3 linked regions of the Drosophila melanogaster genome follow. The protein of the gene in region 1 interacts with the protein of each later gene in a pairwise test. Each region holds a gene or a part of one and is shown in the gene's direction. Other genes may lie near its edges.

Region 1 (4,790 bases):
CCCGCCCTTTTATCACGTTTTAACCGACTAATGTTATTCCACAATAAAAATAACTTTGTATTTTGAGAGACTGATTGTTTAAATTGTCCAAATTGAATTTAAGATACATGTACATATAAGTGGAATAACCATTGTAAAGCAGTGCGTTTAGGCATCCGAAAGAGCAGCCACTCCAGGCAGAACCTTACCCTCCAGCAACTCCAGGGAAGCTCCTCCACCGGTGGACACATGCGAGACCTTGTCGGCGCCTCCGAACTTCAAGCAAGCGGTGGCCGTATCCCCACCACCAACGATTGTGGTGGCTCCTCGGTTAGTGGCCCCGATTACTGCCTCCAGCATGGACTCGGTGCCTTTGGAGAATAGCTCGTTTTCGAACAAGCCTGGCGGTCCGTTCCAGACGATGGTTTTGGATGCACAAATAGCGCCAGCAAACATCTGACTGGATGCCTGGCCGTGGTCCAGACCCATCATGTCCTCCGGTATGCCCTGTGTGGCATCCACATGTTCCACTTTATCCGGCTCCTTGTCGATCTTATTGGCTATGACAAAGTCAATCGGAAATAGTATATTCACGTCCTTCTCCTTCGCCTTGCAGACTATGTCGTTGACCAACTCGGATCCCTTCTCGTCGAAGAGGGACTTTCCAATCTCCATGCCATTGAGCACTTTGAGAAAGGTGAAGGCCATGCCACCGGATATGATCATGGCCGTTACATTGTTCAGGAGGTTCGTTATCAGTGGAATTTTATCGGCTATCTTGGCGCCACCCAGAATGGCCAAAAAGGGCTTGGCCGGATCGTGGAGAACCTTGGCAAAGTACTCCAGTTCCTTGTCCAGCAGGAAACCAGCCGCTCGCACCTTGTAGCCATCGCCCATCATGGAACTATGCGGACGATGTGCTGTTCCAAAGGCATCGTTCACATAGATCTCGCCCAGCTGCGCCAACTTGGCTCGGAATTCCTTCACCTTCGCGGGATCTGCTTTGACCTTCTTCTTGTTATCGTCCTTGCTGCTGCCCGTCTCCTCGGCATAGAAACGAAGATTCTCCAACAGGAACACAGTGCCGTCGGAGGGATCCTTCAAAGCTCTCAGGGTGCTATCACCCACGCAGTCGTCCAGGAATTGAACCGGCTGGCCCAGCACACTCTCCAGCTCCTTGGCCACGGGTTCCAGGCTAAACTTTTTGTTCTTTTTGCCATCCGGACGCCCCAAGTGGGATGCCAAAACCTAGGCAAAAAATTAAGTTATTCGTTCTATACTTTTTAGGAATTGAAGGAAGATATATCAACTCACCAAGGACTTACATTTCTTGTCCAAGGCATATTTAATACTGGGAAGTGCGGAAACAATTCGTTGGTTGTTGGTTATTTTGCCATCTTTCATGGGTACATTAAAGTCCACTCTAAAAATAAATTTATAAATCACACACTAAAACATATCTGGCAAGGATACTCACCTCATAAAAACCCTTTTCCCAGCCACATCTACATTTTTTAAGCTCAACTTCTTTACTTGCTTTCCATTGCAATCGTCTTTGCTAAAAAATCTTGGAAATCTTAATTTTGTAAATCGAGTTTGAGCTCTTTGGTATAAACTCTGCCGAATTGGAAGCATATTAAATAAATTTATTACCTGTTTTTGACTGAAAATACAATGCACGATGAGGAAGTAATTATGAAAATAAGTAACTAAATTAACTATTTTCAATAATTTTCGAAAAAGTAAAAGAAAAATGTAACCCTATGGCAACACCAAGTTAAATTACTTCACCACGATCTGGCAGCCCGGGCGAACATATGATTTTGTTGAAAACAACAGAAAAGGAGGGAAAATCTGGAATTGTTTGTAATTTGTTTGTTTTGCTGTTAAAACGCAAATCAAACCCAAGATGGGTGGCGGAGATCTAGTAAGTAATGTCTCCCAACTGATTATCCGTCAATTACCATTGATTTTTCCCGCAGAATCTGAAGAAATCATGGCATCCGCACACGATGAAAAACCAGGAGCGCGTTTGGAAGGCGGAGGAGCAAGCGAAGATGGAGGAGCGCAAGCTGCAGGATCTGCGCAAGGAGATCAACGAGGAGCGGGACAGAGAGGAACTAAGGCGATTGGGCGAAAGTTCCGGAGTGCTGAGCAATAATGGCGGAGCCGCCGGCGAGGCCAAGCTGGAGTGGATGTACAAAAGTGAGTCATACATGTGAAACTCTTATAAAACTCATTATCCATACATATTTATCTTGCTCCAGACAGCACAGAGCTGATCAACCGCGAGGAGTACCTCCTGGGCCGTAAGATCGACAAGTCCTTTGAGACGCTGCAAGCGGAGGAAAGCCGCCAGGAGCAGAACACAGTGGGTCTCAAGCAAACGATCAACCATGTGGAGCACGACTGTGTGCCCTTCTCCATCCGGACCTACCGCAATGTGCAGTCCAACGAACAGGTGGACATACAGCGCAAGACCCTCGAGGATCCCCTGATGCTCATCAAGCAGCGCGAAATGGAATCCCGTCGAAAGCTGCTTGAGAACCCCGTCAAGCTGAAGGAAATCCATCGCATTCTCAAGACTGAACAGGAACAAAAGGCCGCAGAGGGAAAGAAGAAGAACAAGAAGAACAAAAAGTCTAAGAAATCCAAAAAGAAGAAGAAGAACCGACGATCCAGCAATGAGGAAAGTAGTGACAGCGAGAGCAATGATAGCGACGATGACTTGGACAGAAAATTAGCCCGCCAAGTGAGCAAACTCAAGGGAGACCAAGGTGACCTTAAACTGGACAAGCTGCTGGACGCCAAGTACCGCACCATTTCAAATCAATTAGACATGGCCACCAAGAAGAAAAAGAGCAAGAAATCCAAGAAGAAGAAAAGCAGCGATAGCAGTGACGAAAGTAGTGACGAAGAGGAAGAGCCAAGGAGAAAGCACAAAAGGAGCCACAGCTCAGAGGACAGAAATCAGCGAGAAAGACGCAGGAGTAGAAGCCCCCGGGATAGAAAAAAGCGACAGAGTAGAAGTCCGGAACAAAGGCAAAGGCAAAGGAGTCCAGAAGAGAGAAGGGAAAGGCGCAGGAGCAGGAGCAGAAGTCCCTTAGCGAGAAGACAGAGAAGAACCAGGAGCCCAGAGGACAGAAAAGCCAGACGTCAAAGCAAGGACACTTCAAAGCAGCGCGAGAAACGCAGGAGTAGGACACCTGAAGAGCGTTCCAGATCAAAACGCAGCAGGAGCCGAAGTTCCAAAGGAGATGACAAGCGAAGGATTGCCGAAAGACCGCCTCCCAGCCGTCCCACCGGCAAGCCAAAGTTAAGCGAAGCCGACCGAGAAGCTCGCCTGCGCGAAATGATGGACAACGCCACTTGGAGAGAAGCGGATCGCAGCCAGGTGGTTCGCAAGCACCGAGAAGCATACGCGCGCGAGGAGGCCCAAAATCGTGAACGAGACTTCGACAAGGAGTTCATTAACAAGGAGGTGAAGAAGGCCATTGCCAACCATAACTCAATTGGCGATCGCATCCGGGCCAATCTCAACAACATACAGCGCACCGCCTCCTCAATGGACAGCAACTTTGCCCGCAAATAAACTAGGATTCCTTTATTTCGTATGCATTATATGGTTCCGCAACAAATAGATTCAACACTTTTTAACGTCGTGGTTTGTGCTTACAAGGTAAACGATGCGATTAACATTAATATACCGTATATATGTACGCTTAGGCGCTGGTCAATGCAGCCACGCCTGGCAGTGTCTTGCCCTCCAGGAGCTCCAGCGAAGCGCCGCCTCCGGTGGAGACGTGCGAGACGAGTGCCTCCGTGTTCCACTTGGCGCAGCAAGAGGCAGTGTCGCCGCCGCCGATGATGGAGACGGTGCCGTTCTTGGTGGCGGCCACCACGCCGTCCATGATGGACTTGGTGCCGTTGGCGAAGTTGGGGAACTCAAAGACACCGGGGGGTCTAAAATGGGAAAACCATTATAGGACATTTGGAGAAGTAGCTTCAGTGTGACACCTACCCGTTCCACACGATGAGCTTGGCGCGTGCGATGGGTGCCGCGAAGAGCTCACGGGTCTTGGGACCCACATCCAGACCCATGTGTCCATCGGGAATTCCGGCCTCCACGGTGGCCTCGCTGACGGCAGCGTTCTCGGCGAACTTGTCGCCGCAGACAAAGTCCACTGGCAGATGCAACTGCACGTTATTCTTCTTGGCCTTCTCCACCAGTTTCTCGACGATCTTGGAGCCCTCCTCGTCGAACAGGGAACCGCCGATCTTCATGTTGTTGAGGACCTTCAGGAAGGTGAAGGCCATGCCGCCACCGATGATCATCTCGTTGACCTTGTCCAGAAGGTTCTCAATCAGCTGGATCTTGTCGGCCACCTTGGCGCCACCGAGAATTGCCAGGAAGGGATTTGGTGGCTTGTCCAGGGCCTGCGAGAAGTACTTCAGCTCCTTGTTCAGCAACAGACCAGCTGCGCGCTGCTCGAAGCCATCGCCCATCATGGAACTGTGGGCGCGATGGGCAGTGCCGAAGGCGTCGTTGACATAGACATCGCCCAGCTTGGCCAGGCTGGCACGGAACTCCTTGACCTTGGCAGGATCGGCCTTGACCTTGCCGCCGCTGGCATCCAAGCCCTTGCCCTCCTCCTCCACGTAGAAGCGGACGTTCTCCAGCAGAATGACGGATCCCGGTGCGGGATCCTTGCAAGCGGCCTCCACTTCGCTGCCGACGCAGTCACTTAGGAAGATCACATCCTGGCCAAGCAGGGTCTTCAGCTCAGCGGCCACGGGTGCCAGGGTGTACT
Region 2 (7,219 bases), on another chromosome or scaffold:
CTGGGACATCGCCAGGAGCAACACGAGAATCAGGTAATGATAATCACGTTTGTTGGTCTGCAAAGTATATATGTATATCTCTAATATATGCACTTGCCTACCTCCTCAGCCGAATATGCGCTACTTAAAGTCTGGAGAGGAAGGACCACGTCCAGGACGTTTTGATGGAGGCGAAGAGTCGGGCGGACGCAAGCCAAATCGTGGTCTAAAGGTTGCAAGTAAGGACCGCCATTTTTATAAATTTCTAAATTTAATTAGGTTGGGTTATTGCACTTTTAGTATCGACAGCTTGTAGTATCAATGCCAAAACATTATTTGCATTTCCCACAGATTCATGCATTCTAGAAAGCTTTTTTTGAATTTTGTAAACGCTTAGATCAGTAGTATTTAGCATTTGAGACATTTAAGACTTATGTACACTTATATTCACTTTATTCGCAACACAGAGCGTCGCTTTAATAACAAAATGGAGTCGGAGCGCCAAGATAGTGACTCTGATGGGCGTTTTTGCTAGAGGATCGGATGGAAAGAAAGATGATCTCAAAAAACTGGAAGATCTCGCCTTGAATAAAAAAAAACTTCCCACCGCTACCCGGGACATCGAACAAGTACAGGAATTTGGAAATTTGAAAAATCTCAGAGGAACAGGACAACTTGAAGCAGAAATTTTGAAAACATCTATTTGTGGCCTAAATATAAGAGCCTTTTTTTTTTTGTATACCTTTGGAGACATATCTATTAACAGAAGACAGAATTGCATTTACACACATATGTATCTACATATTGTTGACAGAAAAAATAATTGCATTTGCACAGATACGAGAATTGTTTGCTAACAGAAAAAACAATTTCATTTACACACAAATCTATTGGTAACAGAAAAAAAAAATTGGTAACACAAATACGAGAATCTATTGGTAACAGAAAACGAAATTGCATTTACGCACGTATGCGAATCTATTGTTAACAGAAAACAGAATTACATTAACCATTTCATAAACACACCTGATAAAACCACCGAACATGCATCAAAATGCTTGACTCGTGTAAATATCGAATTTGTGTGCCATAAAGTAATCAGTTTCGTGATCAATTTCGTGATTACAATTTTGTGATAGCTAGTAATTAATCCATTCCCATACAATTTTAGGGACTAAAGCAAAACACAATTATATTTACATTTTTTATGCAAACAACTGATGATAATAAAATCTTTACTAAAAAAATAAAACAACTTTCAACCTTTTTGAATGTGAACAATTGTACGAATCTAAAAAAAGGGAAGCATAAGCTGATCTTCTTAATAACGTTGGTATTCAACGCTATTGCGAGGCTGCAGCAATACTTTCCTTCTCAGTGGAAGCTCTGGATGAGTTCCATGATCCATAAACCTGGCAAACCGAAACAAAAGGGAGCCCGCTTCCAACAGGCCGATCAGCTTTCTCCTTTCGATCTCAAAGGTGTTTGACAGACTAATTGCTGCCCAGATAGTCAGGATAACGGAATCGAAAAGGATTACTCCTTACAGTACCGTTTAGCAACTCCATGCCGTGTACAGTATCCGCCCATCAATGAGGCTTAATTGAAGCCAACCGAGGTACCTCATTCTTCGATCTCCTTTAAGGCGGGTACGAATGGTCCGAATTAATATGCCTTTCTATATATGCCTTTACTATATGAGTAATTAAGCTTAAAAAGCTAGTTTAAAAACACGCGCTTTAGTGTATTTGAAATGTGTTTTACCTATTTTCGTTTCGTTTTTCAAAACATCGGCTTTTCAAATATACCGTTATTTATCAACGGATAGTTAGGAAATTCTATCGATACTTCGAAGCGCGCTGGCCACACTTTTCATCTCTATCAATAGTTCCACCACTACTTTCTTTTTTAGCAATTGATTCGTTTTTTTTTTGGACGCACCTGCGTGCTTCAGCCACATTTTTGGCCTAAAACAATTTTTGGCCCCAAACAATGGAGGCCCTAGTGAATTATAGTAGTGAGGACGACCAGGAGGATGCTGGCTTTCAGATACGGGTAAATATGCCTACACCGCAAGGCCGGAAGCAGCTGAAAAAAGAAAGAATCATCAGAGCGCATTTTGTGTACACATACATCTTCATCACTTTTTTCTTCCTTGCGTATATGGGAACCGCGTGTGTGTCGTGTTTGTGTTGTGTGTGTGCGAATGCGCGGAAACGCAAAATAAAGAACTGATCCCATCAATTCAAAAAACATAAAAAAACGAGGAAAATTCAAAACCACTAACCACTCCAATAATACATTTCAAGTATGCTTTGGTAAAATAATGCCAATTTGCTGTTTCTTAAAAGTTGCAAAATTCCCTTGGCACCACAACAACTGCAGCATTTGCCGCATGCTAAATCCTCGAGAACAACAACAACTGCTAACTTACTAGAGCAGAACAACAATAACTATGTTAGCGGCAACAGTCCGCGCGGCAAGGAAAGAGATTGCCGTATTTGAGAACCGTGTGTGTGTGTGTGTGCTTGTGTGTGTGTACGAATGCGCGGAAACGCGAAATAAAGATAACTGATCCCATCAATTAAAAAAAACATAAAAAAAACGAGCAAAAATCAAAACCACTAACCACTCCAATAATATAGTTCAAGTATCCTAGTGCTTTAGTAAAATAATGCGAATTTGCTGTTTCTTAAAAGTTGCAAAATTCCCCTAGGCACCACAACAACAACAACAACTGCGGCATTTGCCGCATGCTAAATCCCCGAAAACAACAACTGATAGCTTATTAAAGCAGAAGAACAACAATAACTATGGCAGCGGCAACAGTCCGCGCGGCAAGGAACGAGAAAGAGAGCGCGAGCGGGAGAGAGAGAAGACAAAGCCGATGTCGCAGCAGCAGAGTCATAGGAGCAGCAGCAGAGGACGCATTGATGAGGTAAAGACTTGCCGTTGCACCAAATCGATATTTACTTCCCATAATATATACCAAATACCATATGCTATTGTACTCCATACGTATGTGTGTGTGTGTGTATCTGGGTTGGAGCGCAAGCGGATCTTTCATGTGCCGTTTCCTTCCGCTGCCGCAAAGGGCGACGCCATCGCCGACTGCGCTGCCAGCAGCAGCACTTACAGAGGCAGGCAAAATAATAGCACAGAGTCCGCTTTAAATCAAACGTCTAATGTATAGATATCAATCAAATCGAAACCGAGATCTTTTAAACTTTTGAGTTAAAGTTAATCCCAGTTGTATACATTGGCCAATTCACTTCAAATAAAAAAGAGAAAATGCCACGTAATGAATGAAAAGTACTTGTGCCAAAAAAACAGGACACTGCATCAAATCAATAATGCAGCCTAGTTTTCAGTGCCTCCATTCCTTTACGCCAGCAAAAGTAATAATTCTATACATAGGCAAGGTCATTGGCAGCAGTACTTCATTGTTAAAACTAAATTAATGGAATGTTAAAACACAATAATGCATGCAGTCCATTCCCCACTGGTTCTATAGTTTATATTGCAATTAAAGAAAAGAACAGATTCACAATCTTTTCTTGTAGTCTTGTAGTTCAGCTTTACTTCGGTTATCATTGATTAATACTTCCATTAGTTACAGATATAAATCGCAGATCTTGTTAGATTCTGCATCTTTAGGGGCTTCAGGCATTTTCTTGTGCTATTATTTAGTCATCTGCTGTTCCCAACTGAAAAATTCAATATTCATATATTTATGTATATTGATCTCCACGATCGACTGCATGCGCTCCAACCCGTTACATCCAAATTTCGCTACTGCCAGATTTATATGGGCCAAAAACTCAAAATTAAATCCAAAGACAGAAAATTCTGTTTGTTCGGTCCGCTTGCGATTTACACACACATTGTTGTTGTTGTTGTTCGGCCAGCTTAGTTAAGTCTACAAACTTTATATGCCAATCAATATTTAAATGACTAAACTCTACCATTTTATTATCATTGTTATTGTTGTTACGTAAACGAAACCGAATCGAACCAAAACGAAAAACCATTTTCCAAACAAACAAGTCAAAAACAAAAAACGAAAACAAACCTGACCGACGATAATTGACGATAGCCCGATCGTAGTAATCGCTCGATTACCAATAGCTTCTTCGATAGTGCGACAATCGATCAAATTTGTTATGACCACCACTGTGTGTGTAGTCCTGTGTGCGACTCTGTGGCTGTGTTGGTGGGTGTGTGTGAGCCACTGAAAAAGGTAAAAGCAAATAGAACGATCACACTCACCACACACATGCCCGCCCGCACACACACACACACACACAACCACCCACCCATCCACCCACTCACTCACTCACTGGTGGCGCGAAAGCGAGAGAGAGAGAGAGAGAGAGAGATAATGCGAAAGAGAGATCAAGGCGCACGAAAGTGAGTATACAAAAAGCGATCAAATAGAACCTAACAACTCTCTAAGCAATCTAGGACACCCCGGAAAGGACCCCAGCTGGTGGCCCACAGCCCGAATCCTCTTTCTATTTCCCCTCCAGCATCCTAAGCATCTAGCAACTAGACCTAGATCCTTAGTCGCCGGCGCAGATTCGTAGATCCATACGCTCTAATGTAATTCTCCTCAATGTGTTGCTTCATCCCGTTCCAGGAGCCGAAGCCCAGCAGTCGCCACCGCCAGGAGCGGGACAAGGACAGGGAACGGGACCGCGACCGCGAACGTGACAGGGACAAGGACAAGAAGCGCAGCGATTCAGAACGCAGTCGCGACAAAGGACGCGACAAGAATCACAGCAAGGTGAGACAGAGTCCTAATCAACTCAGCATAACTCAGCCAAACTAATGTCTGTGCTATTTACAGGGCGACCATCGCCACCATCGTACCAAAGACGGCGACAGCCACAGAGAGCGGGAGCGGGATCGTGACCGGGAGAGGGAGCGAGATCGCGACAAGGATCGGGACCGTAGGCGTTCGGAGAAGAGCAGTCGCCACCACAGTGGCAAGGAACGCCATCATCATCATCACAACAACTCATCGTCAGCCGCCGCTGCAGCGGTCAGTGCAGCATCAGTCCGTCGATCCCATGATGAACGCAGTCGTCGTCGCCGGGACTCTCGATCCGGTTCCCGCACACCAACGGGCACGCCGCCCTCTCGTCGCCGCCATCAGTCGCAACAGTCACGCAAATATCGCGAACGCGACTCCAGCAGCCGCTCCAGATCTCCGAAGGAAGAACAAGCCACAACACTTCGCGGTGGAGCTGTGGCCGGATCTCATATGCTGCTCGCTAAATCAGGCGGCGGAGCAGGATCAACGGCAACTAATGCAACAGCAGCGGCGAGGGTTGCAGCGGCCGCTCTGGTAGCTGCCAATGCAACAGCCGCAGCCATGGCAGCCGGTTCATCCGGCGGCGGTGGCGGCGGTCTCCTGCCCACGCCCAACTATGCGCCCAAGATACCCTCGCTGATGTCCTTGGAGCTGAGCACACCAGCGGCAGCAGCACCAGTCGCAGAACCCATCCAGCTGCCCAGTTACTACAATCCGAGCATCATCAATGCCAATCGCTATGCGGAGCAGCAGCAGAAGCGCAAGCTACTGTGGGGCTCCAAGAAGAGCGAGAACTCGGCGAACAAGTGGGGCAACGCGCACTTCTCCCAGGACTCCGACGGCAAGGTGGCCTCCAAGTTTATGCGGCTCATGGGTATCAAGAACGCTGGTACGTCCGGCAATGACGATGGCAAGGGCGGCCAGGCGGAGTCCACCAATGGAAGTGCAGCAGGCGAGGGAAACCGCGCAGTAAGAGGTGCTGCGCCATCGGGAGCCGCTGGCGGAACGAAAGTGCCCACGGACGTGCAGCAGCGCCAGCGCATGTTCTCCAACATGGAGCAGCAGTACGAGATGGCGCGAGCCGCCACACACACGATGCGTGGCGTGGGGCTTGGTTTCGGCTCCCAGCCACGTACTTTCTAGAAGGGATCGGAACGGAGGAGGATCGGCTCCCTGCCAGGCTGTAAATACCATGCCACTCACTCAACTCATTAGTCAGTCAATATGTTTCTCCTCAACAACTTTTTGTTTGTGTTGAGAAAATTTTTTGTTTTTTTGATTTCAAATAAACGTTGCAACAGAATTTATGAAGTGACGTGGCTCTCTCTTTGGATTTGCTTGGGATAAATGCGTCGTTAGGTAGACTTTTAGTCTACACTATTACTAAGTATGCTAAGAGTATCCAACTTTAACTACAAAGTTCAGCGGCTCTAATCGAAGAATGCTTGAATATTCAATAATAAATAAAGGTATTTTTTTTTACAATAAACAATTTTAAATTTTGGCACTCTGTTTAGTAGATGTCAGTTTTTTGCCATGCACCTTGGCGGTCGGTCTGCCTATCGCCAATCGATAGCTGACCAAAAACAATAACAATAACAAAATCAGCTGACGATAGGACGTCGGATATCGATACCATATCACAAACTAATAATAAAAATAATAATAAATAAGAGAATTAATACTACTAGAACACAAACAAAAGCATATAAAGCTTACACATCCTTTATTAAAACAAACAGCCAAATTGGATTTAAATTGTGGAACGAAGCAAACAGAACCGCTTGAGTTTGTGCCACTGCCACGCAAAAAAAATTATCGTTTCCAAAAAACTAAGCATACTTCATCCGAAATTAGCAATCAGCTAGCCAAAAGCGGAGTGATCTCGTCGAGAAGAGCCACGCCCCCTATCCGCCCACGCTGCCCAGAAGAGAGCAGCGAAGATGTCGTGGCTGAACAGCAGTCTCAGCCAGCTGAAGGGCCAACTAACCAATCTGGCGCAGGAAGTTCTGGCCGAAACGGCAGGACCCGGCGACTTGGAGTATGAGGGACATCAAGCAGGAGGTGCTAGCGTCCAAGACGCCGAGCAGCAGGCCAAGACAGCCCTGGAACTGCTGGCCGAAACCCAGGAGCAGAAGGAGCAGCTGGACAAGCGGTGCGAGGAGAAGGATCGTGAGGTAAAGCCAACTCACAGTCACTTTTGCGGCTTCTTCACCAATGGCCATCCGATTGCCCCTTTCAGATAGCCGCCCTGCGCCGAGAACTGGCCAAAAGCAAGCAGAAACAGGAATCCCAGCTGGCAGCCAGCACATCAGCTACGCGGGAACCGCAGTTGGTAAGTGACGTTTGATCCGAGGGACCTGCAGCTGGCCCCCATGTGGCCATGCCACATCCGGTGCCCACTCCGTCTTCCAGGAAACATTG
Region 3 (6,209 bases), 280 kb from region 1:
GGTTGATAGTAACATTCCCTGGATAAATAGTATGTACAAAATTCTTCAACTTATTCGAACTTAGTTAAGACAAACTACAATGATTCAAAATAGTATTCTAAGCGACTTTTACAGCTTTCAATAAATGTCTATGTGAGTTGTTCGCTTGCTTATATTATCGAATTATATTCACAATCAGTATTTAAATACATATATATAATGTGCAATCGGAGAGGTAAAGCTTATCGCAAAATAAAAAACCATTCCATTTGACTTGAACTGTGCTGCGGATGTGCGTTTGAGTAAGCTGACATCGCTTGGAATGACAATGAAACTTAATGCCAACAGGATGACAGCAAATAGGTAGGGATACATTTAGCAATGGCCCCTTTGCAGGGCGACGACTTTGGCTTGCAGCGGTAAACATTCATATACAAATGATAAGAGCTTGATAACCCTTCTGATACTAGAAGTATTCGCCAGCAGCCTTGTACGATCTCGGGCAATTTTGTTCGGCATACAAGGCGTAGGCGTTCTTAGATCCTATTTTGATAGGCAGCTTGCTCGAGTGCTTATTCCACACATGCACTACATACGAGTCCTTGCACCGGGCGATTGTCTCTTCTAAGTTTTCCGGCTCAAAGAAGTCTCGCCACTGCTTCCACGGTACGGCGTAAAAGGCGCCCCGTCCGAATACTTTGAAGCCCATGCAGCGCTTGGGGTCCTCTCGCATCAGAGCAATGTCTTTGGTGCCACATATCTTCTGAGCCACACGGGTTATCACCCCTGGGCCATTGTTGCCCCAGTCCCCGCCGTTAAAGTTGTGCTGAAAGTCGCGCAAACAGGACGCGGCGATCTCGTGGCCAAAGCCAGTGGCTGCCAGGTTCATTACGCCAGCTGCCAAATGGGTGTTGGACTCAGCACCTGTGTAATTGGGCGGCACCTTCTCCATGTTGCGAAGCACCACCACATCCATGTCCAGATAAAGACCGCCATACCGATAGAGGGTAAGGTAGCGGAGAAAGTCTGATATGTGCGAGAACAAATATCTGGAAAGGTAATGTCATCAATGAGTAATAACTAGGGAGAGTCTTTAAACTCACTTTGACCGCGACAAACGACCATCTTTGAGCCACTCCTCCATGGGCGTGCCAGATGCGTAACTCTCGAGATTCAGTCGACGTAGATGGACATTGCTGTAACTGAGAATGGCCTCCAACAATGGTTGGGGATGGCTTTTGTTGTTGGAGATTCGATAGGTGGGGCCAGCGAACAGGACGAACACTTGGAAATTCGGATTATGCATCGCTGCCGACTCGATTGCGCATGCCTGGCGGGCAGTGACCTTCAGCGTCTCCAGCTGTCTGTTCTCGGATAGGCGGCAGCTGGTCTCGTGAAAGAAGATACTGTTTCCGGGCGAGGGTTTGGGATCCGCCTGGAGGACGTCGCCCAATAGATTTGTTTCGCCATCTGCAGTTAGCGCCTGCTGAGTTGCCAGTACTTGGCCCTCCATAAAGCATGAGTGGTATTTATTTTCCGAAGTGTAGATGTAGAAGAGGCCTCCAATTACCATTAGGACGAGGATGATGAACATCCTGCGTGCCACCGCAATGGGCAACCAGAGGAGCATGACTGCAGAGAGATCTGGTAGCAAAAAATAGTGTAAGCATCATTTAACTTAAATGTTGTACATTTCAGCTATTTCTTACTCTATGTACGCCACATCGTCGCTGGGCAGTATTCCTTAATCGCCCTCGACGACAAGGAAACTCTAACAATTGAAAGGCACACAGCGAAGAACCACAACAAAAAGCGCTGTTATCGTTCCGCGGAAGCTAATCGATAACAGAAAATCTACCGGGTGGACAGTTCTCGTGTGTGGACTCGATAACTCGATGGGGTGGGCAGTTTCATTGCACAATCGACATCTCTGGCGTGGAAAGCGGCATTCGCTTTGAGAATTTTACGGATTTTTTCAATTACCGAAAGAAAAGTGAATTGGCCGGCGCAGCACGCAACGACCGGTAGACTCTCGGTGCACCCATTACCCATATAGCAAAATAGTGAAATGAATGTTCCTCCTAGCGTGGGCAATGGAGGAGCGCCACCGGGAAGGGGCATAGGCTACACGCCGCCCGGTGCAATCGTGCCGCAGTTTCCACCACCCGGATTTGGGGCCCCACCCCCACCGGAGCTGGCCGCCGCCTTCGGGGTGATGGCCACCAGCACCGAGTGGACGGAGCACAAGGCGCCGGACGGACGACCATACTATTACAATCAGAACACGAAGCAAAGCTCGTGGGAGAAGCCGGAGGCTCTGATGACGCCCGCCGAGCTGCTGCACAACCAGTGTCCCTGGAAGGAGTATCGCTCGGATACGGGCAAAGTGTACTACCACAACGTGGCCACCAAGGAGACCTGCTGGGAGCCGCCGCCGGAGTACGTGGATATGAAGGCCAAGGCGAAGGCGGAAGAGTAAGTAAATTAGTTGTGCATCGCGTGCCACTTAGTAATATGATTCCTTGTTTACCCAGAGCTGCTGCAGCCGCCAAAGCCGTAGCAGCCATGACATCATCCAGCTTAGCCGGCATGGTGCCACCTGCTGCTCTGGCTAGTATTCTTCCCGCTGCCCTGCCTGTTGCCCCCCGATTACCGACTCCTGAGATCCACTCGCCGCTGACACCCAGCAGCAACGAGAACTCGTCATCAGCGATGGATCAGGCCATGGCCGCCACGTTAGCGGCTATAGAGGTGCCACAACAAAATGGTAAATATTATAAACTCTGAAAATATACAGCCCAAGTCACACGACTTTCTTTGCAGCTAAGAAGGACGACAAGTCAGAGAGCGCTGTGGTGTTTAAGGATAAACGCGAGGCCATCGAGTCCTTTAAAGAGCTGCTGCGGGACCGCAATGTGCCATCAAATGCGAACTGGGACCAGTGTGTGAAAATCATATCAAAGGATCCGCGATACGCAGCCTTCAAAAATCTGAACGAGCGCAAGCAAACATTCAATGCCTACAAGACGCAGAAGATTAAGGACGAGCGCGAGGAGTCTCGCTTAAAAGCCAAGAAGGCAAAAGAGGACTTGGAGCAGTTCCTTATGTCCAGCGATAAGATGAACTCGCAGATGAAATATTTTCGTTGTGAAGAAGTATTTGCCGGAACGCGAACATGGACCGCGGTGCCGGAACCGGATCGGCGAGATATATACGAGGACTGTATATTTAATTTAGCGAAGCGAGAGAAGGAAGAAGCGCGGTTGCTGAAAAAACGAAACATGAAGGTTCTGGGCGAGCTGCTAGAGTCGATGACTTCAATCAATCATGCCACCACCTGGTCAGAGGCTCAGGTTATGCTATTGGACAACGTAGCATTTAAGAATGATGTGACTCTGCTCGGAATGGACAAGGAGGACGCCCTAATTGTCTTCGAGGAGCACATTCGCACCTTGGAAAAGGAGGAGGACGAGGAACGTGAGCGGGAAAAGAAGCGCATGAAGCGACAGCAGCGCAAAAACAGGGACTCCTTTCTTGCGCTGCTCGACTCCCTGCATGAAGAGGGAAAGCTCACTTCCATGTCGCTGTGGGTGGAGCTGTATCCCATCATATCAGCCGATTTGCGATTCTCCGCTATGCTCGGCCAGAGCGGGTCTACACCCCTGGATCTTTTCAAGTTCTATGTGGAAAACCTGAAAGCCCGCTTCCATGATGAGAAAAAAATAATAAGGGAGATCCTCAAGGAAAAGGCATTTGTTGTCCAAGCGAAGACATCCTTCGAGGACTTTGCCACGGTCGTGTGTGAAGATAAGCGGTCAGCCAGCCTGGACGCGGGAAATGTGAAGCTCACATACAACTCCCTGCTGGAAAAGGTAACTATGGAGTGGGAAAAAAACCTTATATCAATAAAACTCATTTGTGTATTTATAATCTACAGGCCGAGGCCATTGAAAAGGAACGGATGAAAGAGGAGGTGCGAAGGTTGCGGAAACTAGAAAATGAAATTAAAAACGAATGGCTGGAGGCGAACGTCTCAGTGGCCGAACCCTATGAGAGCGCCAAGAAGCTGGTAGAACACCTTGAAGCATTTGCCCTTTATGAAAAAGAAATCGGTGTGGAGAAGATCTGGGAGGACTTTGTTAAGGAAAGCGAAGATGCGTGCAGCCATCATCACTCGCGATCACGAAAATCTAAGAAAAACAAGAAGCACAAAAAACGAGTACGGTCCGTCTCGAGATCAGACATCGAGAATGAGCATATAGAAGTGGAGAAGTCCAAGCGAAGGCGCTCCAAGACACGATCGGTTAGTATGCTAAACATAACATTAAATGCAACTTGTAAGTTAAATAATAACGTCACGCACATACAGCATTCCCTGACCTCAATTGGCAGCATCGAGAGCGAAAAATTGCTGAAGAAGAAAAAGAAGCGCAAGAACAAACTGCGAGGTGTACGTAGCAAGTCGGCCCAGTCCTTGGACAACTATACTATCTAACATGGCTTACATTTCAGTCCTCCTGCGAATCGGATGTTCCAGGCATTCAATCGCCGGGAACTCAAGCTCTACTTCAGAACGACTCAAACTCGCACTCACCCGCAAAGAAAAAGAAGAAGGAGAAGCGAGCTAAGAAGGACAAGCGACACAACAGGCACAATCGATCCGGCACGCCCCTTAGTCCTGCCCAGTCCGTCGAGTCGTCTGGATCGCGAAACGAGGAGCTGACGTTAAGTGACGGCGAGCTGGAATCGAAGCGAGCGGCTCTTCTAGCCCAACTCAGCGAGCAGCTCGACGAGTGACCAGCTGACAGGCGTTGAGTCAAAGCCGACATCGACATCGTGTGGCACTCTCTAGCTCTAGCTTAAGGAGGATCGGGAGAGGTAGCTAGCCCTGGACTCAGTTGCTGGACAAGTTCTCTTTTCAGTCCTTGCCTTCCACTGCACTCTGCTTCGTTTGGTTTAGATACTGTCCTGGTCCCAGCACAAACCACACAGCGAACCACAATTGTAATTTCTTAGTCTCAATAAGTTTCAATGTATAAATGAGAATTAAACCTAACGAGTCAAATTTTAAGTTATACGCAAATGATTTTGATTCTGCATCAAAATAAACAAATTACGATAGAAATTACAAGATAAGATCTTTTGTGTTAACTTCACTTTTTGCAGAACCTATTTTAAATCCTCGCATTTAAATTGAATGACGCGAACTTATTGTAGTTTTTACTATGTTTAATGACATCCTTGACAATCGCACAAATGGAAAAGTTGTATTTCTTGTTGTCAAACTAAAACTTGAACTCCTTGTACTTCTTTGTGGTCTTGGCCGGATCCGTTTGCTGTCGCTTGCGCTTCGATTTCTGCCGCGCCACATGTTCGGCCAACATGTCTGACAGATCCTCCTTTTGCAGGTGATTCTGCTGCTCACGCATTTGTTGCTCATAACGCTGGGCCATTGCGTCATTGTCCAAGTCCAATTCGCTAGGATCGAGAGCCAGTTCCACAATGCCCTCGCGATCTGTGGTTGATCGAACTGGGGGCTGTTTGTTAGCCCCACTGCCACTGACGTCGTAGACATGGGTTGATCCCATCATGGAAGCCCCTATGCGGTCGGTGCGCTTCTCAGGCAGCACTTGATACAGAACAGGAGTTTCGTTGCTAGGAGAAGTTGGAATAATGGGCTTAATCGTGATGTTATTTTAAAAATATTAGTTCACTTACTCCTCCATCTCGGCTTCAATTTTCTTCTTGCGAAGCTCAATGTTCTCGGGGGTTTCCATGCCAGCTGGAACACTGGTGAGTCCAGAGGGTGTTACTAGTCCCTCTACTGGCGTTACCAGGCCAGTCTCATCCTGCTGATCGCCCAAGTCCTCGCCATCTTCCTCTTCCTCCTCGGATGATTCTTCTGACTCCGATTCCAGTTCGCCCCATTGGTTACGTTCAATGTCAGCTTCGTCTACGCCATTCTATAAAAAAACAATGACATTAAAACAAGAAGTGCTACGCGAATGTTGCCACTCACATCAAGGTCCAATATGTTGGTTCCAAATACGTCACCGTACAGCGGTTTTCCGTTCTCATCCACTGGCGGCTTGCCCCAACCTCCGGCATGATAACCGAACGAGGTTCCGTCTGGGATCGGAGCATTCAGGCCAGGAATTTTAAGATTCGGATACGAGGGCGGCGGCCCGTAGCGCTGTTGAGCAATGAGCCATGGTGGCGGAATCTTGTGT

The links.
Region 2: the proteins of Cwc25 (region 1) and CG6340 interact in a two-hybrid assay, tested with the Drosophila melanogaster proteins (one large-scale study listed by BioGRID).
Region 3: the proteins of Cwc25 (region 1) and Prp40 interact in a two-hybrid assay, tested with the Drosophila melanogaster proteins (one large-scale study listed by BioGRID).

What each region holds. Positions count from the first base shown.
Region 1 is NT_033779.5:2,743,311-2,748,100, forward strand, and holds Cwc25 (Cwc25), read left to right. Parts: upstream 1-1,787; 5' UTR 1,788-1,888; coding exon 1,889-1,906; intron 1,907-1,961; coding exon 1,962-2,184; intron 2,185-2,246; coding exon 2,247-3,571; 3' UTR 3,572-3,634; downstream 3,635-4,790. Other genes in the region: CG9961 (uncharacterized protein), read right to left, coding at 148-1,227, 1,294-1,402, 1,457-1,614; Pgk (phosphoglycerate kinase), read right to left, coding at 3,702-3,942, 4,001-4,790.
Region 2 is NC_004354.4:15,480,504-15,487,722, forward strand, and holds CG6340 (uncharacterized protein), read left to right. Parts: upstream 1-1,870; 5' UTR 1,871-1,971; coding exon 1,972-2,034; intron 2,035-2,678; coding exon of another isoform or gene 2,679-2,695; coding exon 2,696-2,917; coding exon of another isoform or gene 2,918-3,172; exon of another isoform or gene 3,173-3,877; intron 3,878-4,026; coding exon of another isoform or gene 4,027-4,065; exon of another isoform or gene 4,066-4,389; intron 4,390-4,618; coding exon 4,619-4,765; intron 4,766-4,828; coding exon 4,829-5,938; 3' UTR 5,939-6,109; downstream 6,110-7,219. Other genes in the region: CG6324 (uncharacterized protein), read left to right, coding at 1-33, 110-218, 447-514; Gmap (golgi microtubule-associated protein), read left to right, coding at 6,739-6,972, 7,038-7,130.
Region 3 is NT_033779.5:3,021,341-3,027,549, forward strand, and holds Prp40 (pre-mRNA processing factor 40), read left to right. Parts: upstream 1-1,885; 5' UTR 1,886-2,047; coding exon 2,048-2,454; intron 2,455-2,513; coding exon 2,514-2,746; intron 2,747-2,802; coding exon 2,803-3,851; intron 3,852-3,916; coding exon 3,917-4,282; intron 4,283-4,348; coding exon 4,349-4,429; intron 4,430-4,491; coding exon 4,492-4,776; 3' UTR 4,777-5,099; downstream 5,100-6,209. Other genes in the region: alpha4GT1 (alpha1,4-galactosyltransferase 1), read right to left, coding at 446-1,028, 1,083-1,609; Sf3b2 (splicing factor 3b subunit 2), read right to left, coding at 5,265-5,634, 5,698-5,942, 5,999-6,209.